Linked DNA regions of Neodiprion lecontei. The protein of the gene in region 1 purifies or fractionates together with the protein of each later gene. This does not show direct contact. Links are inferred from orthologs where the notes say so. Each region holds a gene or a part of one and is shown on either strand. Other genes may lie near its edges.

Evidence for each region.
Region 2: the proteins of succinate--CoA ligase [GDP-forming] subunit beta, mitochondrial (region 1) and succinate--CoA ligase [ADP/GDP-forming] subunit alpha, mitochondrial fractionate together in Homo sapiens (co-fractionation; 6 studies listed by BioGRID and IntAct, counting the BioPlex papers as one, with this or other methods). This does not show direct contact. The link is inferred for Neodiprion lecontei from reciprocal best matches to the Homo sapiens genes SUCLG2 and SUCLG1.
Region 3: the proteins of succinate--CoA ligase [GDP-forming] subunit beta, mitochondrial (region 1) and succinate dehydrogenase [ubiquinone] flavoprotein subunit, mitochondrial fractionate together in Homo sapiens (co-fractionation; 3 studies listed by BioGRID, with this or other methods). This does not show direct contact. The link is inferred for Neodiprion lecontei from reciprocal best matches to the Homo sapiens genes SUCLG2 and SDHA.
Region 4: the proteins of succinate--CoA ligase [GDP-forming] subunit beta, mitochondrial (region 1) and iron-sulfur cluster co-chaperone protein HscB purify together in Homo sapiens (affinity purification with mass spectrometry; 3 studies listed by BioGRID and IntAct, with this or other methods). This does not show direct contact. The link is inferred for Neodiprion lecontei from reciprocal best matches to the Homo sapiens genes SUCLG2 and HSCB.

What each region holds. Positions count from the first base shown.
Region 1 is NC_060264.1:36,036,613-36,042,146, forward strand, and holds succinate--CoA ligase [GDP-forming] subunit beta, mitochondrial, read left to right. Parts: upstream 1-1,793; 5' UTR 1,794-2,524; coding exon 2,525-2,726; intron 2,727-2,847; coding exon 2,848-2,947; intron 2,948-3,412; coding exon 3,413-4,008; intron 4,009-4,127; coding exon 4,128-4,262; intron 4,263-4,358; coding exon 4,359-4,487; intron 4,488-4,575; coding exon 4,576-4,688; 3' UTR 4,689-5,031; downstream 5,032-5,534. UniProt on the Homo sapiens protein: GTP-specific succinyl-CoA synthetase functions in the citric acid cycle (TCA), coupling the hydrolysis of succinyl-CoA to the synthesis of GTP and thus represents the only step of substrate-level phosphorylation in the TCA.
Region 2 is NC_060263.1:32,444,899-32,450,826, forward strand, and holds succinate--CoA ligase [ADP/GDP-forming] subunit alpha, mitochondrial, read right to left. Parts: upstream 4,058-5,928; 5' UTR 3,946-4,057; coding exon 3,909-3,945; intron 2,899-3,908; coding exon 2,663-2,898; intron 2,417-2,662; coding exon 2,195-2,416; intron 2,085-2,194; coding exon 1,980-2,084; intron 1,847-1,979; coding exon 1,643-1,846; intron 1,327-1,642; coding exon of another isoform or gene 1,306-1,326; coding exon 1,171-1,305; intron 819-1,170; coding exon 732-818; 3' UTR 531-731; downstream 1-530. Other genes in the region: ribosome biogenesis protein BRX1 homolog, read left to right, coding at 4,998-5,120, 5,742-5,928. UniProt on the Homo sapiens protein: Succinyl-CoA synthetase functions in the citric acid cycle (TCA), coupling the hydrolysis of succinyl-CoA to the synthesis of either ATP or GTP and thus represents the only step of substrate-level phosphorylation in the TCA.
Region 3 is NC_060260.1:33,240,079-33,244,642, forward strand, and holds the start of succinate dehydrogenase [ubiquinone] flavoprotein subunit, mitochondrial, read left to right. Parts: upstream 1-1,532; 5' UTR 1,533-1,671; coding exon 1,672-1,731; intron 1,732-1,746; exon of another isoform or gene 1,747-3,260; intron 3,261-3,359; exon of another isoform or gene 3,360-3,769; intron 3,770-4,409; coding exon 4,410-4,564. Other genes in the region: succinate dehydrogenase [ubiquinone] flavoprotein subunit, mitochondrial, read left to right, coding at 171-281, 351-437. UniProt on the Homo sapiens protein: Flavoprotein (FP) subunit of succinate dehydrogenase (SDH) that is involved in complex II of the mitochondrial electron transport chain and is responsible for transferring electrons from succinate to ubiquinone (coenzyme Q).
Region 4 is NC_060266.1:20,481,827-20,485,915, forward strand, and holds iron-sulfur cluster co-chaperone protein HscB, read right to left. Parts: upstream 2,126-4,089; 5' UTR 1,992-2,125; coding exon 1,593-1,991; intron 1,513-1,592; coding exon 1,256-1,512; intron 1,144-1,255; coding exon 1,014-1,143; 3' UTR 542-1,013; downstream 1-541. Other genes in the region: adenylate kinase isoenzyme 6, read left to right, coding at 1-190; protein disulfide-isomerase A3, read left to right, coding at 2,723-3,174, 3,608-3,839, 3,945-4,089.

The DNA.
Region 1 (5,534 bases):
TTCTAGAATAATGAGAATGAACTTTATTATTTTCTCACATCTTGAACAGCTATTTATAATCCCACACTCTTCTTGATGTCTTTTTCGCATTCCTAAGGGTCTAACTATTAAAGCAAAAGTCCTGCAAAACGAGTTTGAGACGAAAAGTTTCCGATATCTAAAAATCGCAAAAAAGCAAGGCTAACCCCTTTGGATTTTGTCAGTCGACATTTCGCTGATTTTGAAAAATGGTTGGATCAATTTTTTGTTGCACTTTATCGACGTAATTTTTCGAGAGGAATCGATTACGCGCAGTCCGTATATGCCTCCAGGTACTTCATCTGGCTTCTTCATTTTCTCTGTTTTTTCGCACTTCCAATTAACAGTCCTAGATTTTCCAATTCTTCGATTAAAAATATAATACAGAACCATTGACCTAACGACGTGCTTTTCGACGCGCGACATTTTGCCTTTGTGATGGTACCCATTTTCATGAGCGACTTTTCGCGCTGTCGGCGTGGCGCTTCAATTTGACGTCGGTGAAACTCCAGCATATTGCAATCATGAGTATGAAAACAACGTAATAAGTTCGAATTATTTAATTTGTGTACCGTAACTTTCGAACCATTGGTGCCTGGAATAAATTCTGGCACTTTTGAAAATAAGTGTAAGAACTTTCTTCGAGAAATCCTGACTATTTGACTATATTTTTTGTGACTGCAACTGGGGCATGGAACTTTTAAAGTCATATAGTACTCCTACCTTCACCGATCGAGCGAACTCACCTTTTTTCTTCCTTTGTTGAATAAACAAATGACCGGAAAGGGTTCAAATTTCACCGGTGTATTTTCCGAATTCCGAAAATCGTAAAAAAAATGTTCGGTTTTTGACACATGTTATTTTTTCCACATTTTCCGCATTTGAGGGATCAAAAAGTGCATAGCTGAGATACTTTGCGCAATTTCGGAAAGGATGAAGAGTAAAATGAGCCATTGTGAGACTGTTTTCATGCAATGTTGAGGTCGCTAGACGAGAACTAGGAATTACAATAATGTTGTAAATCAAAGGTGCTCTTACGATCAGCTGGGTGCACGGCCGAGCGTCCTTGCTTGGTTGTGCACTATGGGTTGTAAAATTTTTAGGGTTATCGAATGTTTCAGAATCTATTTAAGGGAGCGTTCTGAAATTTGAGCCAGCGCTCAAAACTCCCTAGGACAGAGGCAGAGCTACCCACGAACTCGGCAGCGCAAAAGAGATAAGAGATTGTTGCAAGCACTTTGTGTCTGTACATTCATTATTCTACAAATTGTATAGGTGAAGAATCAGCTGCAGTTTTGATTTTACTAGGCTTTGATTCTGCAACGTTATAATCACTGAAGGAAATCTTACGTGAAAACTATTACAAAGTTCGGGTTCAATACCAGATAAGTCGAAAGAACCACAAAAACTATCGCAATATTACATTGTGTATAATATTTGTCAATTTGAAATATTAATATCCAATGTAAACCCAATTTCCTTTCACTAATTTGAATCGAACTTCACAAAATATCCAACTAATGACCGTTTTAGACCTGCGCTTAAACTACATTCAAAGTACTGATTGATTTAAAAATAATAATCGGAGATGCTGAAGAAATAGATTACTTTTTTTTGATTAATTGATTCTTGATTTGATGCGTATTGAATCGATGCGATGTAAACATGTCCATTACTGTTGCCGCTCTTGCTCTCTTAGTCGGCAAAATGGAAGAGGGATTCAAGTAATTGCGCATGCGTGTTCAGTACCGGAGATGCATATGACATGTGATGAAACAGATGCTAAATGTGTAACCCTCGCTTTATACCACTTTATACACTACGAGTTCACGACATGATGTCTACGGTTCCCACAGACAACTTATCGGATGGTCCATATTTTCCCATTCCGTCAGCATACAGCCGATTATGCAGTTTGTGTTTGATTCCATCTTTTTTCACAACCATAACGTGTACATTGCTCTTTATTGATATTTTGTGTACATTGTAGTTTATGTAATAATGGACGATAATTATCTTCAGTGAATCACTGCGATACTGTATATAGTGTCCAGTCCCATCTGTAGTTAATAACCTGAATGCTTATTGAGTTCGGATGAGACATACAAACTGTTAATATTTCGAAAGTTTTAACACGTGTGCAATTATTAATACTAATAACACCCAATTGTCATGTTCATACAGATGAAATAAATATTTTATTTGATCGACGCAGCGTTTGGTCACTTCATTGTACAGCCCTATCCAGTCTCATAACCTAATTAATCTTATCGATCAGAGCACAGAGCGCCCATTGGGTATTGAGTGATTAACGTACTTTAATCATAATATTATTTTACTTATTTTTCTTCCGTATGCACGACTGGCAAGCTAAAGACAGTAGTAATTTTGGATCCGATTGTACCGACCAGTTTCTCAACCTAACCTTAAACCGTGTTAAAAGTATCTGAGTACTGTCTGCAGAGTATCGGTCGTTGAGAGAAGCCAAAGTGCTGAAGCGTTAAACATGTCGCGATTCCTTGTTCAAAGAGCCTCGCTCTTGGTTAATTCGTTCAAAAATGTATCACGGGTGTTTCTTATCCCTGTGAGGAATTTGAACCTTCTTGAATATCAGAGTAAATTACTACTAAGAGACAGCGGTGTGTCTGTACAAAATTTCGCTATAGTCGACGACTTGAAATATGCCCCAGAAGTCTTAAACAAATTCAGTAAGTATATGTATTTAAATATTAAGTCATGTTAGTATAACTTGCGAGCTTCAGAATGTCTCATATTTGCAACTGATCGGATCATACGTGCAAACGTTCAGTACATTTTTTTACGTTACAGATGCGGCTGAATACGTGGTAAAGGCTCAAATTCTGGCAGGAGGGAGGGGTAAAGGTCACTTTGATAATGGATTCAAGGGTGGTGTACACATCACTAAAGAGTAAGAGCAATTCTGCTAGAATAGAAAATAATCGATATTCTTGCGGAAAAACCTTCCCACAGATTACATTCGGCAAGAATAGTAAAATAGCATTCTTGGTTACATTGTTGGAATTTATGTTTCTTGATATTTCAAAATCTCGATTTATGATTTATAAACGTATAAACCATTTTATCAAGACCTCACAATATTCATAATTTCATCTACAGAGAAATTAGATATCCATTTAAATACCAATTGATTTTTGTTGTAATTTAATGTGACTCTTTGCTCGTGTACAATTTGTAATACAAAATAGTATCTTATATTTAGGTTCTTTAACCTTCATAGATTATGTTTGAGAATTGAATATTGCTAAGGGTTAGTTTCTTTGCTTCCAAATTGAAATTTATTTCGAGGATGAATTTGAAGCAAGAAACCCGGCTTTAAATTATAGGCGTAAAAATTCGTATGAAAACTTTGTAGACACGAGAAGCTTCTGGAAATTGTAAAGAACATGTTGGGGCATCGTTTAATAACAAAACAGACGCCCAAGGATGGGATTGTGGTGAATAAAGTGATGGTTGCCGAATCGGTTGACATCGTGAAGGAGACATACGTTTGTATTTTAATGGATAGGCAGCATAACGGTCCGGTATTGATAGCCTCTCCAGCAGGTGGAATGGACATTGAAGCGGTTGCTGAAAAAACGCCGGATTTAATAAAGACCATACCACTTGACATTTACGAGGGAATTACAGAGAGCATTGCCAAAGAAGTAGCAAATTTCTTAGGTTTTGGAGATAAGTTGTTGCTGGACAAAACTGTTGCTGAATTGAGGAATTTGTGGAAGTTGTTTGTTGACATAGATGCGCTGCAGATCGAGATAAATCCTTTGGTAGAAACCAAGGATAAGCAAATCATCGCTGTTGATGCTAAAATATCGTTTGACGACAACGCTCAGTACAGGCAGCAAGACATATTCTCTTTGGACGACGCTGGCGAAGATGATCCGAGAGAAGTAGAGGCGTCGAAGTTCAGCTTGAATTACATCGGAATGGACGGAAATATTGGATGCCTTGGTAATCTAGTTCTTCCCCGCATATTCCTACAAAAATTTTGATCGTTACCAGAACAATGTTTCTTGCTCACAATGTATTCGGATGCATTTATAATATCGCAATATGTGATTGACGTATAGTTAACGGAGCTGGGCTAGCCATGGCAACTATGGATATAATTAAGTTAAACGGGGGAACGCCAGCTAATTTCTTGGACGTTGGAGGTAGCGTTAAGGAAGATCAAGTATATCAAGCTTTCCGAATTCTCACCGAAGGTAAATAAATTCTACGTTGATTCTCGACTGCGAGATTATCATTTGACTAATGGAAACACTTCGAGAATGTTGTAATACTTTCGATATTAAATTCAGATGCCAAGGTGGAAGCTATTCTTGTCAACGTTTTCGGCGGTATAGTAAACTGCGCAACGATAGCCAATGGAATTGTGGGAGCGGCTCGCAATCTTGGCTTGAAAATCCCACTTGTGGTCAGATTGGAAGGTAATATTGTTGATCACCTCATTTTCGGACTATTTTAGAAAGGCACAGCGATTTTTGATGCAAACGAACTATTTTATTATGCAACTAGGTACGAATGTTATGGAAGCCAGAAAAATACTTGCGGAATCTGGGTTACCGATTCTTTCAGCTTCCGATCTGGATGAGGCTGCTAAAAAAGCCGTTGCGGCGATAAGACAATAGGCATAGCCGTCCACCATCGACGTTTATCGATAAATTTCCTTGTTCAAGACTGTGTAACTTGTACCTTTGCTCAATTATAGTAACATTTCACGTGGTGTACAATGCCGTAGCTGTACATACCTGTAATAAAATTATACCATGAATGATATATGTCGTTGTTTACGAAGTTGTAAGTGGTGTAATAATCGAAGAAGAGAATGGAAAAGTTTTATAATTAGTAGAGGAGTGTGAATACTGATAGTAGTGGTTAATCTATTCAGAATTTTCCATTGGATGCTGATATAGAAGCAATGATTTATACTGTAAATGCATTTTTATTGAAATAAAGTTTGCTTGAAAATGATTGAATTCTTTAATGAATGCATTTCAAGTTCCGATCAATTTCCAAGCTTTAGCTAACTACTCAACACAGCTGCAGATGTCCAATAAGTTTGGAGCTCAGTATTTCCGTCAAGGCCTTAATTTGAAACCTTTGGACTTGGGTGACTTTGTAGTCCAACCAATAAGCTGGAACCGATTCAGGAGAGGTAAACCAAACTTAGAGTAGAAATCGTTTATAAACATCGTCTAGCGAGCAGGGTTCAATAATTATATTCGAATGCCAAGTTAGGAGAAGGTTGAAACATGTACTGTATACGTGTGCGCGACTGATCTCGGACTCGCTACTAGCTTGCAGTCATTTCATTCATACCCATATAGGGCTTGTAATTTCCAACCGACTTTCGAAGCTAAGTAATGCCCTGGGGATCGACCGACACTCACGTCATCCGTCGCCCCCACCATAAGAAGATGATAAGTAAATGCTCTGCATGTCTAGTGGAATAAAAAACCATCCAACACTTTCGA
Region 2 (5,928 bases), on another chromosome or scaffold:
CGAATCATTTTTTATTGATTGGATGAAGTAACGTATGTATATAGCATGTATATCAATAAATACTTAAATTTGATAAAACAGATACAATTGAATTTTTAATTAACATAATTTACAGCAGTGACTTCTCTGTACATAAATAATTATCGATCAATAGAGAATAGTCATGTCTCGCAAGCTTATACATGTAACTTGTTTTTTACTTATAGGGACAAGTTAACAAATATAAACGTACACTAATCCCGTCATTACAAGACAAAATGGCAATGTGTCTGTACATAAGTAGACGTTATATCGCAATCATTAATCTGCTTTCGAAAACTTATACAAATGTATAGAATTCCTTAAACCAATCGGCACACATAGAAAAAATTACGCAATTATTCATAACGTTAAAACAAAAATATTGTTCCATTTTGGCCATGGAATAATAATATCGAATGAAATTTAACGTGCGTATTTAAAGAAGGTTATTATGTATGCGGCTTTGAATTCGATGGATAAATTGAGTTAATATGATGAATACCACAAGGTCAAACCGATCAAGAAAGTTTATTATTATCTGTTTTTTTTCTCTCTTTGTTTTGTTTTTCCATAATTTCTACAGTAATTTTTCATCTAATGTGTACCACCCACAACTCGGTGTAGTTTTCGTCTGTAGTATGTAACTTCCATATGACACATGTATACCAGAGGCTACGATAGGTACGTATAACACACATGACATTTTCCGTTTAGTTACAGACAAGACCAAGACGAGTCATCTCCTTCAGCAGTTCATTACCCATTTGGGCGGGGCTTCTCGTTACAATCACTCCGGCCTGGAAATAATACGATAAATGACCCCTTTGTTTTTCTCTCTACTGTTATCTGGTGTAAAAAAAAAAAGTAAGAAGTGATATCTGCCTCTCAAGGAAATTTTTAGTAAAAGTATTACTGATATGTATTTCTAAGATATGTAATATCAGTGCAGTAAGTTCTGATTCTGAATTTAACCTTTAGACCGCCAGTGATTTTAATGTATATTCAAATAACCCACATTTATATTATTTGACTATAGTTTCGTCAGTATACTGCGGCCTAAGGATTAATTCTGTACTTGGGAATCATGTGTAATGAATAATCTCAGCAAAACCAATTGCAATGAAAATGTACTAAAACAATCTACATTACCTTTTCAAGAGCGTTAATTTTGTCTTGAGCGCCACCTTTACCGCCTGAGATAATGGCACCAGCATGACCCATTCGACGACCAGGAGGAGCCGTCAATCCGGCAATAAAAGATACAACCGGCTTAGCCTTTCCACCCTACAGTGGAACAAATTGAATCTATGAAATTACAAAAATTATTCTCTACATTTAGCTGCGATTAGGGTGTAAGATTCTTTTTTTCCGTTCTAAAAGTGAAAAGTATTGATTGCAAAGTGCAACGTTAGTGAACATTGTTTTGTCTAAAGTCTAATCTTTAATAAATAAATCAATTAAGTATGGAAAGTCAGCATCAACATATCTTAAAACTTTTTGAATTCAGCAAGGTAGGATCGTAACTTATAGAAAAAACCATGCGGGATATATGGGTATCACTTCATGATTAGGTCTGGAATAGGATAAGGATGGATTAGGCATAATGGCGGGTCATGGATACCAATAATTCAGAACAGCAACCGACAGTGTTATGTTCCATGAGGTATTCAGCAGCCAACTCTTCAGCGCTACCCCCGATTTCTCCGATCATCACTATGCCTTCGCATTCTGGATCTTGTAAGAATACTTCTAAACAGTCAATGAAGTCTGTACCATTGAAGGGATCTCCGCCGATACCAACGCACAGAGTTTGCCCTAGCCCAGCCTTAATAATGCGAAGAAAATTGATTCATTAAAACCTGATTTATGGCCAAAGTATCTCAGAATTATTCATGTGTCACCATGTACGTTTTTTCTCAAGCAGAATTACTAAAATACTTTTGATTCATGTGACTCACCAGAGTTGTCTGATTTACAGCTTCGTAAGTCAGAGTCCCGGATCTCGAGACAATACCAATCTTTCCTTTTTGATGGATATGTCCAGGCATGATCCCAATTTTACACTGATATTGGAAAAGAAATAGGTAATTAAGCTCTTTACGGTTTTTACGTATGAAGATACTAGAGCAATACATTTGTCACTGAAGATAATGAAAGAAACATAAAAATTTACCTGTTCTGGAGCAATGATTCCTGGACAGTTGGGTCCTATAAGGCGAGACTTGTTCTGTTCAAGAAGACGCCTCTTCACTTTTACCATATCGTGCTGAGGCACACCTTCAGTGATACAGACAATTAGAGGCATTTCTGCATCCAAGGCTTCCATAACTGCTGCTGCTGCGCCGGGTGGTGGAACATAAATCACCGAAGCCGTTGCGCCTGTAGCTTCTTTGGCCTATAAAATACATAAACTAAATAAATATATAATAACATGCTTCAAGATTAAATGTCAAATTTCAAAGGGAATTTTTTGATTTTCAATCTCACTCTGGGTATGCTAGGATATATAGAATGAGAATATGTTCAAAATTAAGACAGGAACTTTGGTGTTGAAAGGTTTCATTCTTGAGATTGTCGCTTGAGTTTATCCATATTTTTATCGATGTGGGAATAAAAAAAAAAAAAAAAAAATAGAACGAACCTCTTTGACAGTTTTAAATACAGGCTTGCCCAAGTGCTCTGTTCCAGGTTTTTTGGGATTGACACCACCCACAATTTTGGTCCCATAATCAAGTGCTTGTTGACAATGAAATGTTCCTTGTTTGCCTGTAAATCCCTGGCATATGACTTTGGTATTTGAGTTTATTTTCAGGTTTTTCCTCGTGTCCGTGTAGTTGAATCTTACTTGGGCACGGAGCAAGCTGCTTCGACCTCCCACTAAAGCAAAAATCATTCAAAATTAGTTATATTTCTACTATGCAATGCTGTATCAATATTGGACCATTCCTTGAAATATCTAATCCAAATTCTCTGTAACGCTAATAAGCTCTAATTCTAAGAGCCATATGTCACAAATAGCACCGTCAATGCAAACAGAAGATAATGAAATTTACTCAACTACCTTAAAGGTTATGCTTCTCACGATTCAAGTATACTTGTTCCAAAGATTATAGGCCGGAATAGAATAGATAGACATAATAAAGTTTAAAAATAGGTAAAATAAAATGGAAATTTTTTTTTCATGTAGTTTAATTACAATGATTAACACATTCTTAGATGCAATTACAATGGTATCAATAAAATCAATGTCATATAAATACTCATTCCTGGGAATCAGAAATATTTGAATTTGTTATTTCTATGAACAGTATCTTATACCACAAGAATAAATGACTATTGGTTCACTCTATGAAACAACATTACAAATTGTTGCTTAAAATGATGAATTTTTTGCGTTCTACAGAAAATTTATCATTATTTAAGTTGACATGTTAAGCATACAACGGACGCAGTAGGACGAAACAAGTATTAATAGGGTAATTGGATGTCGACCTCTTGAGGGAAGAAATACCGAAAGGATTAATGTATATCATGAAATTATCCACAGTCCGGTCACGAAAGCATGAATCTGACTTATCTGCCAATGGCACTTGACTTATTAATTAGTGATTCGATCTTAGGAGATTGTCAAGCAATTGAAAGGATTATTGAGCAATTTGATAGAAGCAAAAATGTGGGTTAGATTACATAATGTACACGAGACAATTGTCTCTTTTGATTTGAGCCATCTGGGTCAAGAGCGAACAGCATTCGTAGGGTTAAAATAAAACGGGGTCTATGCAGGTGCGACTGCATAACGATATACGGGGCTTAATTTATTCCGGAATACATTTTGCTTGCGGTACGACTTGTGATATTTTCATTGTATCAATGTTTAAATTACCGACCTGTGATTTTTGATAGATTCCTAACAGCCGCAGCCATTTTAATAAATTTGTCGAGAAAAATTAATTTCAGAACGAACTACGGACTTGACACCATGGACGGGGACAGACAGCCTACTCCTTAATATCTACGATTCCTACTACCATGATATATCCTTGGTGAACAAACCGAATGAAGCGACTCAACACACGGTTAAAAGCGTTCAACGCGAAGCAGTGCTGCTTGCTACGATGTAGAGGCGCTGCCTTTATCCGCCAACTATAAGCTATATATAGGTAAATTGGCTAACTATAATACTAGTACGTACTAGTTAGTCGTTTTAACCAACACAATTTTAGCAGTTTTTGGATTTTTAATGGTGAACCACATGCGCGTATCGAATATGAAAATTTTATACTTTCATAGCACGATATGAGCGTACTTTGCTCATATTCACAGAGATACAACCGCAACAGATCTTCTAATCCTACCAGACGTCGATAATTAATATTGAACAATTTTAATGCATACGATAAGACGTTGAATGGTGACGGAAGGATTTAAAGACGGCTTATATCCCTCGGCGCAAATTTTTATGGCTAGCACTTCACGGCTGAGAGTCACAACAAGCCGTGTTAGCGATTCGGTAGCGTCTATCAGTGGGAGCCGTTCACGCAATTCTATAGGCACACAAACCATATGCAAACCCGCAGTCTACCTCCTGGTCGGTCCCCTGACACACGGTGCTAAAAGGGGTTCGCAAAATGTTCCTCGATTCTGCTGTTAATTTCCACCAATAGTGGCGCTAGTAGTTACCTGACGAGCTTGCGCGCGGTCAGCGAGGGCAGCGAGCGTGTCAGAAGTCTACTACTAGCGCCACGTAGAGGAACTAAAAAACGGGGACAAGACGCGTACAATTTTTTTAGTATACGAGCAGTGGTGAGTGTCAGAGGGCTGCTCCTGGTCAATCTCTCTGTAAGCCTATGGGTGATGCACGTTCAGTTACACATGCCTATAATATATTTTGGTGGTGAAGGCTCGCCGCGTGCCGCACGTGTTAACCTCACATTTTGGTAACACGGTTTCCTGAGTGAACTGGTTTCATAGCAAAAATGGTAAAGAAAAGTGTAAAAAGGAAGCGTAAGGAGAGTGAGAAGGCTAAAAATGTTGAAACCGAAGAAGTGGTGAAGTTCCCGCCATCGAAACGATCGTCCGATGAACCTGCGCCGAAAAAGGTTATTTTATATTCTAACCTCGTCAGTTACTGTATTACAGGTGTACAGACAAACTGCAATCACGCAGCTCACATTTCTCTCAAGACAGAAATTCTCCATTCCCAGTCCACCTTATTGCTAATTTACACCTTTTTCACGGAAAGAATAGTCGCCGCGTCTATTCGCACTACAAAGTGAACCTACACAGGACACTCCAAATATGCCAAATGTTCGGATCTCTTGAATTTTTTGGAATGAATTAGAGTGTCCGAACAAGTTTTCAAGCCATACCATTTTTTACGTGAGTATGATTTGTTTAAAAACATTCACTGAGGGTGACAGACACCGACAACATACTTCGCATCTTTCGTGTGTGTGTTTCAGTTTTGGACAGTGCTAGAGTATAATCATTTATTAAAACTCTAGCAACGGTATAACAGAAACTGAACTTAATCTAACCTTTGCCACACAACTTTAGCGTGCCTGAAATAATACTTTGGATATTTCAATTTTTTGCAAAACAATCGGGACAAATAAACATTTGGCTTATGGAATAATTGGAGTGCCTCGTGAAGATTAACTCTAGAGTGAATAGATACTTTGAAGAATATTTATTTTAAATAGTCATTTTTGTTTCGATAGACGAGATGGATAAACAAACAACGGGTGCTAGTATTCGCATCACGGGGAATTAACCACAGAGATCGTCACCTAATGGAAGATATTAAACGACTTATGCCACACCATCGCCCAGAGAGTAAAATGGAGCGATCCAAAAATTTGCAAGTTATTAATGAGATGTGTGAAATGAAAAATTGCAACAAAGCCA
Region 3 (4,564 bases), on another chromosome or scaffold:
ATCGATCGTCATTATTAAGTCAATTAATTTTTGTAGGCCGATGAAATAACTTGAATTTCACAGGTGATTCTAGAATTTTCAATCCGCGCACGATGAACGAAGCAAAAGCTGTATTTCCAACAGTGAATGTTTACAACGCCTTACAAGTAAAATTCATTGATTTATTGCAGGAACGAATCGACGAGTACGATTACTCCAAGCCCTTGGAGGGGCAGAAAAAACTTCCTATTGAGAAACATTGGCGCAAACATACTCTGACTTGGGCCCAGGACGACGGTTCTGTGAGTGCACTGCATCGTCCGAGTAATTAACAAGATGAAGCCAGATATTTACGTATATTTACTTTTCAGATATGCATTACCTACCGGCCGGTAATTGACACTACTCTGGACGAGAGTGAAGCGGAACATGTGCCACCAGCAGTACGTAGTTACTAACAAGGTTGGCGTTAACCCGGCATAAGGTCTAGATATGCATATACATAGTTGCATAAACCGGTTCAGATTAACTGATGATAAATCAAAAAAGTGCAACTGATAATCAACTCGTTCCAAGATTCTAAGGAGTATACGTGTGAATGCAGGTTGATAAACTATATACGAGTAAATAATTTCCAGTTGTACCTATACCGCGTTTTAGTTTGTCCTTGGTACGTATTGTACCTACTATGCTTTTTCCCCGTGTTGACTTTACGGTCATAATTCGTGGTGTAACAAAATGAATTCCTTTCACAATTCGATAGTTTATTCTTGTCGCTTACTTACGTTTCGTAGAATTTCACCTATACCTACTTTTTATATAAATAAAAACATGCACGTATATCTCGAGTGTCGTATCAGGAAAGTGGTATAAGCGTGAGTAAACAACTGCAACTTGTACCGGATGGAAAAATATTATTCACAGACATCATGTTTACACGTATTTATTTTATTCATACGATTGTTTAAATCGATCGAGCTTATGAATATTCAAATAAAATTCGTTGGTTTATACTGTCTTTAAACTTAACTCCCTGGATTTTACGGTAATGCGAGAAGTTAGTAAGACAAAAGCGTAAGTAAAATACACAACCCAAACTATATTATGTTCGCTTCAAATTCGACACATTGAATACCGAGTCGGCGCTATTTTTAACCCGTGTTGGCGTGTGCCGTCCGAAAATGAAACGCCGTGGTACGAACCGAAAAGAAGACGAGAATTCGATTCCCTGTTAGGTTTTAGTCGAATACCATGTTTCCTCAACATTTATCACAGCAGGTCGTTCTCGGTGATTGTATTTTCCTGTAACTGGCTGGCGCGTACGGCGCTGGCGCGAACGTCGGTTATAAGTTTGCGGTATGGGGCTTGGAACGAAGAACGTAACGTTAGATCTTTGCTGCAATAATGCTTCGACGAATTACAAAGCATCGATATCTAGCTGCGGTAAATCAGCGTTTGGAAAAAGAGAGGAAAATTGCAACAAACAGTGAACTACCCCGATATATAATATATTGCAATGCGTATTTTTCCCCTCTGTAACGTTGGCCCCACTGGCCTGACCGACGTCGCCGACTCAGGTTCAGTGTTCACGACGCCGTACGAGAGGTGCGCGAGTGTACTGCTCGTGCGTTAATATTTTGGTAGTAAAAAAGGGGATCGAAATTTGGATTAACACCCCCTGGCAGGTCCAAGATGAGCATAATGTTGAAAGTACCGGGAATTATCGCGAGGAATCTGCCCTCGGCGACTCTAGTAAGTATTTCTTTAAGTTATATAATTTTCGTCGAAGCGTATCGTCGAACCGCTAATTCATCGCACCTTTAGTGTACGATGAGATCTGCTTTCCATTACGTAAGTGTCGACCCTGTCGTCATTTGTTTTTCCCAAAGTGAGTGAAATTGGGTATTTTCTCCAAGTGTCGCAACTATTGTGCAATTTCAAGTTATCTGTACAGATTGCTTTTCGACTAGCGAAACGGTCTAAAAATACACCCCATTTTTGCCAGTTTCCTTGCTTGTCGGTTTTTTTCATACGAACATCATATCAATTAGAGTTAATTATCAACTTATTTTCTTCGCGGCACATGATCATCTGTCTTGTTTTTTTGTCCTGGTATATCCCCCAAAATGCGATAACACTCACGACGCTTGACAGCTGCCAGAGCACATATAGCCCAGATTCCTACACGCGATCAGGCTTCATTTGCTCATTAGCAATGTAGTCGGGTTTATTCTATCTCCGGGATTAATTGCTTAGCGTAAACAACTAATTCTGTATCAAGTCAACAACAGTTTTCACGGAAAGTTCCACCGTTTTAAATTGCTTTTACCGTAATAACGTATAGGCACGATACGGCTTACACTGCTCGCAATGATTTTCTGATTACGTCGAAACAGGACGTAACCAATTCGCATATTTGTGTGTTGGACGGTTTAACCTATTCGCAAATTTACAAGGTGCAGGGAATATCGACCTAAATAGAACTATGACGGAAGCGAAATCGCCAGCGGCAAACTGCTCAGCTTTTAGTTAAGATATTCTCACAAGCTTTGCTAAATTAGTTTTAACGTCTTATTCAATGAAGCGTGCGAATATTTTTCTTTGTACTTGTATGACTACCGCATGATCAAAAATAATGGCCAATTTACACCGTATGTAACGGCCGGTGAACAAAGCTTTAGATGTAGCTTTCCGTTTTCTTAACCGCTACAGGTGGCAGCACTGGTCGGCTGGAAAAGTGGTTGGAATTGAAAACAAATCAATTTCACGAGCATCGTAAAATTGATAGAAGAGTGCATGTTCTTATCTCATTTTTACTTTTATTTCTACTGTCATATGTATACATGAATCTGACGTACCTTGCGTGTGTGCTCTTGCTCATTATTATATAAGTTTAATTCTTCAATTCTGATAGGTGATTTCCGGTAACCACCCAATTCGTTTGTCACGCTATCCCCCTCTTTAATTTCATTTGATTGTTAGAACATTCCAGATAGAAAAAAGCCGAGACGTAGGAAGTAGATTATAAATAAGTACAAATTATATACAAGTATTGTATATTATATGGGATATTAGATAATTAATTCTGGGTTGTTGCAAGCAAATCGCAAAGATCGACAGAGGCGAGGACTATCAATATTTTGGTCTAATGAATACTATGAGCAGTTTTATTCTACTCGTCTCTGGTTGTATTCTGCTGGCAAAACGTAACGACACTTGTCACCTAACCTAACTTAATTTAACAAACTGATATCGCATCCTTAGTTTAGATAAGGTTGAAGGTACTTATAAGCTAAATATAAATCACAGCTAGACTTCTTGAATTGTGATCGCTTAGTTTCGGACGAACCATGAATAATCTTTTAATTTGTTCTTTTCAGCTTATAACTGCTTTTATGAAATTCCAGCAATGCTTACAATTCAAAGTAGAAGCTATTTTTGGGATGGCTATCTAGTAATTGCATCACGAAATCGACGATAACTCGTGCAAATATATTATCAATTAGCAAGAAATGATTTTAGTATTGTTTCATTAATTGCACTAGAAAATTGTAATTGAACTGCATGAATCATTATAGCTATGAAGAAATTGAGAAAATTATAGAATGTATATTAAAACAGAATTCGATCGGCAAAGTTTTGGAGAACGAAGTATAAGATTAAATCTTTTCAACACATTTAAATATTTAAACTTGACGCTAAATCTGAAATACTAAGAACTGTATTTTTTGTTACATTGTGAAAAGTATGTTATGTATCATCACTATGAATAAAGATGTGCTGAAAATTTTAATTTTTTTATCTCTCTCTCTCTCTGTTTTTCTCAAATCAAAGTTGTAAACATGGAGAAAAGTATTTACTGATCCAGCAAAAAAATTTAATACGTTTCATTTAGAATACCTCAAATTTTACACTTTTAGTAACTTTTTCATTGACGAATCTACTTTTATGCTGAATCGGTGTGGTCGTTAAATATTTCACTATCAATTCATCATATATCAGCTATACTTGGGCAAGGTTTCCTGTAGTTTTCATTGTTTCTTGTGTGAATGCGGGTGTTTCTATTGAACATCTTAAGACAACTGTAGACACATAACGACGGTCACTAATCCATCACTTTCCTTACCCCATATAAGTTTAGCGACTCCTGGAGACATATCCTATTGGGTATGTCTGCTGTAGGTAGCAATTATTATTATTAATCATCATAGTTTTCATTGTGTCAGTGAACATGATGTAGTTGAATTTTCCAGGAAGACTAATCTATATAAATATTCACTGTGACACCTTATTCTGTTTCTATTAATTCTGATGTCATGTTATACCAAAGTTCTCCAAATTCTTGAACGATCAAGTAATAAGTTGAATAAAAAATTAGTAATTACATAAATGTTACACCCTCCATAATCATTAAGAATGCAATATTTCAGAGAAAGATCGGCCTGCCTTCACTTTCGAGCCGCAAATTTCATTACACACCTGATGGTAAAGCGGCCAAAGTATCTGATGCCATTTCCAAGCAGTATCCAATAGTGGACCATACTTATGATGCTGTTGTGGTTGGTGCTGGTGGTGCTGGGCTTCG
Region 4 (4,089 bases), on another chromosome or scaffold:
GGGTTACACTGGTAAGAAACTCGAAGACAACATTGATTGCGAGATATTTCAGACGATATTGGAGGAAGCCAAGGCCTCGTATAGGGATGAAATAGTTCACGAATTGCAGAGCAACACACCTGAAGAAATGGAGCAAAATGTAAACAGGATATGCCAGTGGCTTGAGCAGTGGAAAATTGACAATAAATAAATCGAAATTTTTGTTTAACATAAAAATTGTTTTCCCCCAAGGTACTAGTTGTTGAGACTATCGCAATGATGTAACTAGCAAATAGTATCCTATAATTTTATTTACAATCATCAGAGATCCTTGGCTCTGATCACAATTTTTCTACTTCAGCAAGATGCTATATACACATCTAAACTTACACGGTTACTAACGATATATCACCTTTCATGCAATGAAGTTGACCCTATTAAACCCAAAGCATTGAGTCAATGTGTTACAGCTTTGATTCTTGCTGAAGTTTCTTGCAAGTCTAGACTCAAATTAAATAAAGTCTAATTGAAAGATGAGAATCATTACTACATATTGCATCCATCCAAGACTATTCTATAATTTTATTTACAATCTTCAGAATCCTCTGCCCCTGAAGAAGACTTTTTCAACTTTTGTACACGTTATCTATACATTCGAATTTAAATCTTCAGTAAATAGCTTCGAGGATGTCGAAGCGAAAGTCTCAGAAGCTATAAATTAAGTGATGTGCAGTCTGATTCTTGTAAGACATGCTTACAAATTGAATATTGGTGGAGCTTTGTAGTGACAATCTGAGGGAAGTCTATAAAGGAACGTCTAGGAATGATAAAATATTGTTAGGAAAGTGTAGCTTATGTGTTACGTAATTATGAGATGACTTTGAACAGGGGAAACCGTCTGTGAAATGTAAAATAAGGTAAACAAGATTACCGATCAACCGAGAAATACTAATTACGAATGCAGAACAGAAGCTTTCTGCTATTTATGTTCCTCTAGCTTCGAGATGCTTTATAGTCTAGCTCCAATAGTCATTCTACTCAACAATGCCTAGATTTTCTTTCAGATTTTTCAATCTTGCTTCCATACTGGCATAGTACTTCATTTTGACAAGAAGTTTTTTAGCCAGCTCAATGTTTTTCTCTCGAAAAGCGATTGACACTTGTCTGTAAAAATTAGAAAAGCAGTAATAATGAAGTATGAAAAGTGTTGAATAAGATCGGAAGGAAATCCTTAACCATACGTTTATAATCCTTGTCAAACAAAGTGCAAAATTACCTGGTGTAATCGGCTAATATTTCCCTATTTTCCATGATCAATTTCATCACTTTCTCAGCATTGTCAGTGGCCGCTTCGATCTCCTCGTTTTTTTCCATCACCGTCATCAAAAATTCAGGATCTAAAGTAGTCGTCCCCTCAGGTATTTCCAACTTCTCCAATGCCAACATATACAGACCCCTGCTCAGAGGGTGTGAGAGCGTACTATAGGCCTTGTTGACAAGCGACGATAGGTTCTCCGATAATTCCTTCTCTTTCTGCGAGGATTGAAAAGATGGGTCAGTTTTCTCAGTAAAGATGAAATAAAACAGAAAATTCGGTGAAAGCACTCGATCACCTCTGTGCTATTGCTAAACCTGTCAGGATGCAAATAGTGTTGTAATTCTCTGTACTTTTTATGGATTTCGTCACTCTTCAGGTCGTAATCCCGTTTGACGCCGATTATTTGAAAATAATTCAGATTCTCGGGCGGCTCCTGTAGCGCCCTGCACTTGGAGCAAAATAAATCTGACTTGTACTGGAAGTCGCATTTCCAACATTTAGAGGGTAAGTCGCTCGAATAATTCCTGCAGCAACGAGACGCATCGCTAATACTAGCAATTGCGAAATTTGTACGCCCCGATTTGTCGTTCGTACATAAATCCGGGCGATTACATACGCCGACATAACCTCTTGTCGCAAGGCAACGGCAAATGGATCGCAGCCTCATGCCGTTCGTTAAAGAACGGCTAGTCATAGCTCGGAATTAGAATTTTCTTGTTATTCTGAATTTCTTCTGATTGACAATACCATCGAAACTACAATGCGGCAGTACGCGAGGAAGGAAAGAAGACATTACGCTGAACAGTGGCGGCCATATTGAATTCTAAACACGAGACGATGCGATTGGTCAGTTTCACTTGTAAAATTGAATCAGATCCTTTTGATTTGTTTGTCGAACTTGAATCGCCGGTAGCTGATTGACGATTAAGTTGAAGTTAGTAACATTATCGTAATGAATAACATTTTGGAAAATCGTTATTTCGCAGTTGCAGGAATGTCTAAAATTCAGTAAATCACAACAGGGCAAAATGTATTGATATTTTGAAAGCTTACCCATATTAACTATCTCAAAGTCACTGTATAAATTTGCAAAATAGTAATTTTTCCCCCCAACATTTTGCTACGTAAACATTACGAACTTCAGCCTCATGATTGACGAGAGTTCGCTTTTATTTTTACGTGTGAGCCAGTGAACCGATGTTGTTTGAAAGATATTTAAATAATGAAAACTCCGAGAAAAAAGAAAATCTTCGGGATAGATTTCGGTTCGATGAATCGTATAACAGCCAGAGAGAAGCCTTAACAGCTGACAAACGATTGTTCAAACCTAATCTACGATTTCAGAAACGAGGACCTAGACTTGTCTGGCATTCCGCCGAAAAATGCTGAAAGCGCTGACAACGAATAAACGTAATTTGCCGATGAATGAGTACGAAGAAGGGAGGGAGAAACGATGAACGGGGAATAAGAAAAGAAAACTCCGAGCACCTCCTGCGCTTCCATTGCGGGCGATCCGGCGGCGTGTTTTCAAATTCGTCCAATCAGCTCGCGACAACGCGCAGGTCGTACCTCGCTCTGAGCGGCCTCCACGCGAGCCACGTCGTCCTCTCCCTTCAGTTCCGTCTATCAGTCGTTGATTCCAGTCAGTCGTTAGTCTTCCGATTGCTTCCGATTCCCGAGCATTGTACTTCAGAAGGACAATTTTCGCCAGCGGAGGGTCGACAAGCTCGCGAAATGCTGTTCAGAAGTTTAATCCTGCTGTCTCTGGCTCTCGGCGCTTTCGCCGCCGAAGAGGACGTCCTCGAATTGACGGACGACGATTTCTCCCACGAGTTGGAACGCCATGAGAATTCACTCGTCATGTTCTACGCGCCTTGGTAAGCATTCGAAGCTTGTTATTTACCTCACTTTTTATTCCGTGGCTTTGGATTCGGAAAATCTCGAACAGTCGCTACCCGCCCCATAGCTTACCGAAGCACCGGCACCCGGTCGAAAAGACCGCTTATCTCCTTTCGAACGTGACGTTAAACGTCAGACGGACTCGCCGCTGTTTTCGGGACATATGCGACGATGATTATTCACCAATCTTAGTAGCGTTGACAACAATATTTTATACATACGCACATATACTCTCAAGTCGAGATGTATTCTCTCAGAATCACGTAACCTCCTTATCTCGCATGAAATCGTTGCTTCTTTGTGTGCAGAATGCCGTTATCTAATATTGAACTTCGCCACAACGAATCTCTATGTCTCGCTTTATTCTAAGTTTATTATGTATTATGGTTCATATTTCTCGCATTCGTACAGGTGCGGACATTGCAAACGCCTCAAGCCCGAATATGCCAAAGCGGCGGAACTTCTCAAAGGTAATGATCCGCCGATCACTTTGGCCAAGGTTGACTGCACAGAGGCGGGTAAAACCACCTGCAACAAATACTCGGTCAGCGGATATCCGACGCTGAAGGTATTTTCCAAAAATGAAATGGTCGGCGATTACAACGGCCCAAGAGAAGCTCCTGGTATCGCAAAGCACATGAAGGTATGACTAAATAAAATAACCACAATAAGGTATGCAAATAATATATTTATTTGATTCCTGAAATTTTTGAGCCTCCTTTTACACTGTTTTTGTGTCGTCTTGTAGGCTCAAGTTGGACCTGCCTCCAAGGAATTGACTGGCGAAGACTGCCAGAAGGGCTTCTTGGATTCTGACGAGGTTGGAGTGATCGGTTACTTTGAGAAGGACGATTCACCCTTGTCAGCCGCCTTCCATACTGTTGCTAAGAAAC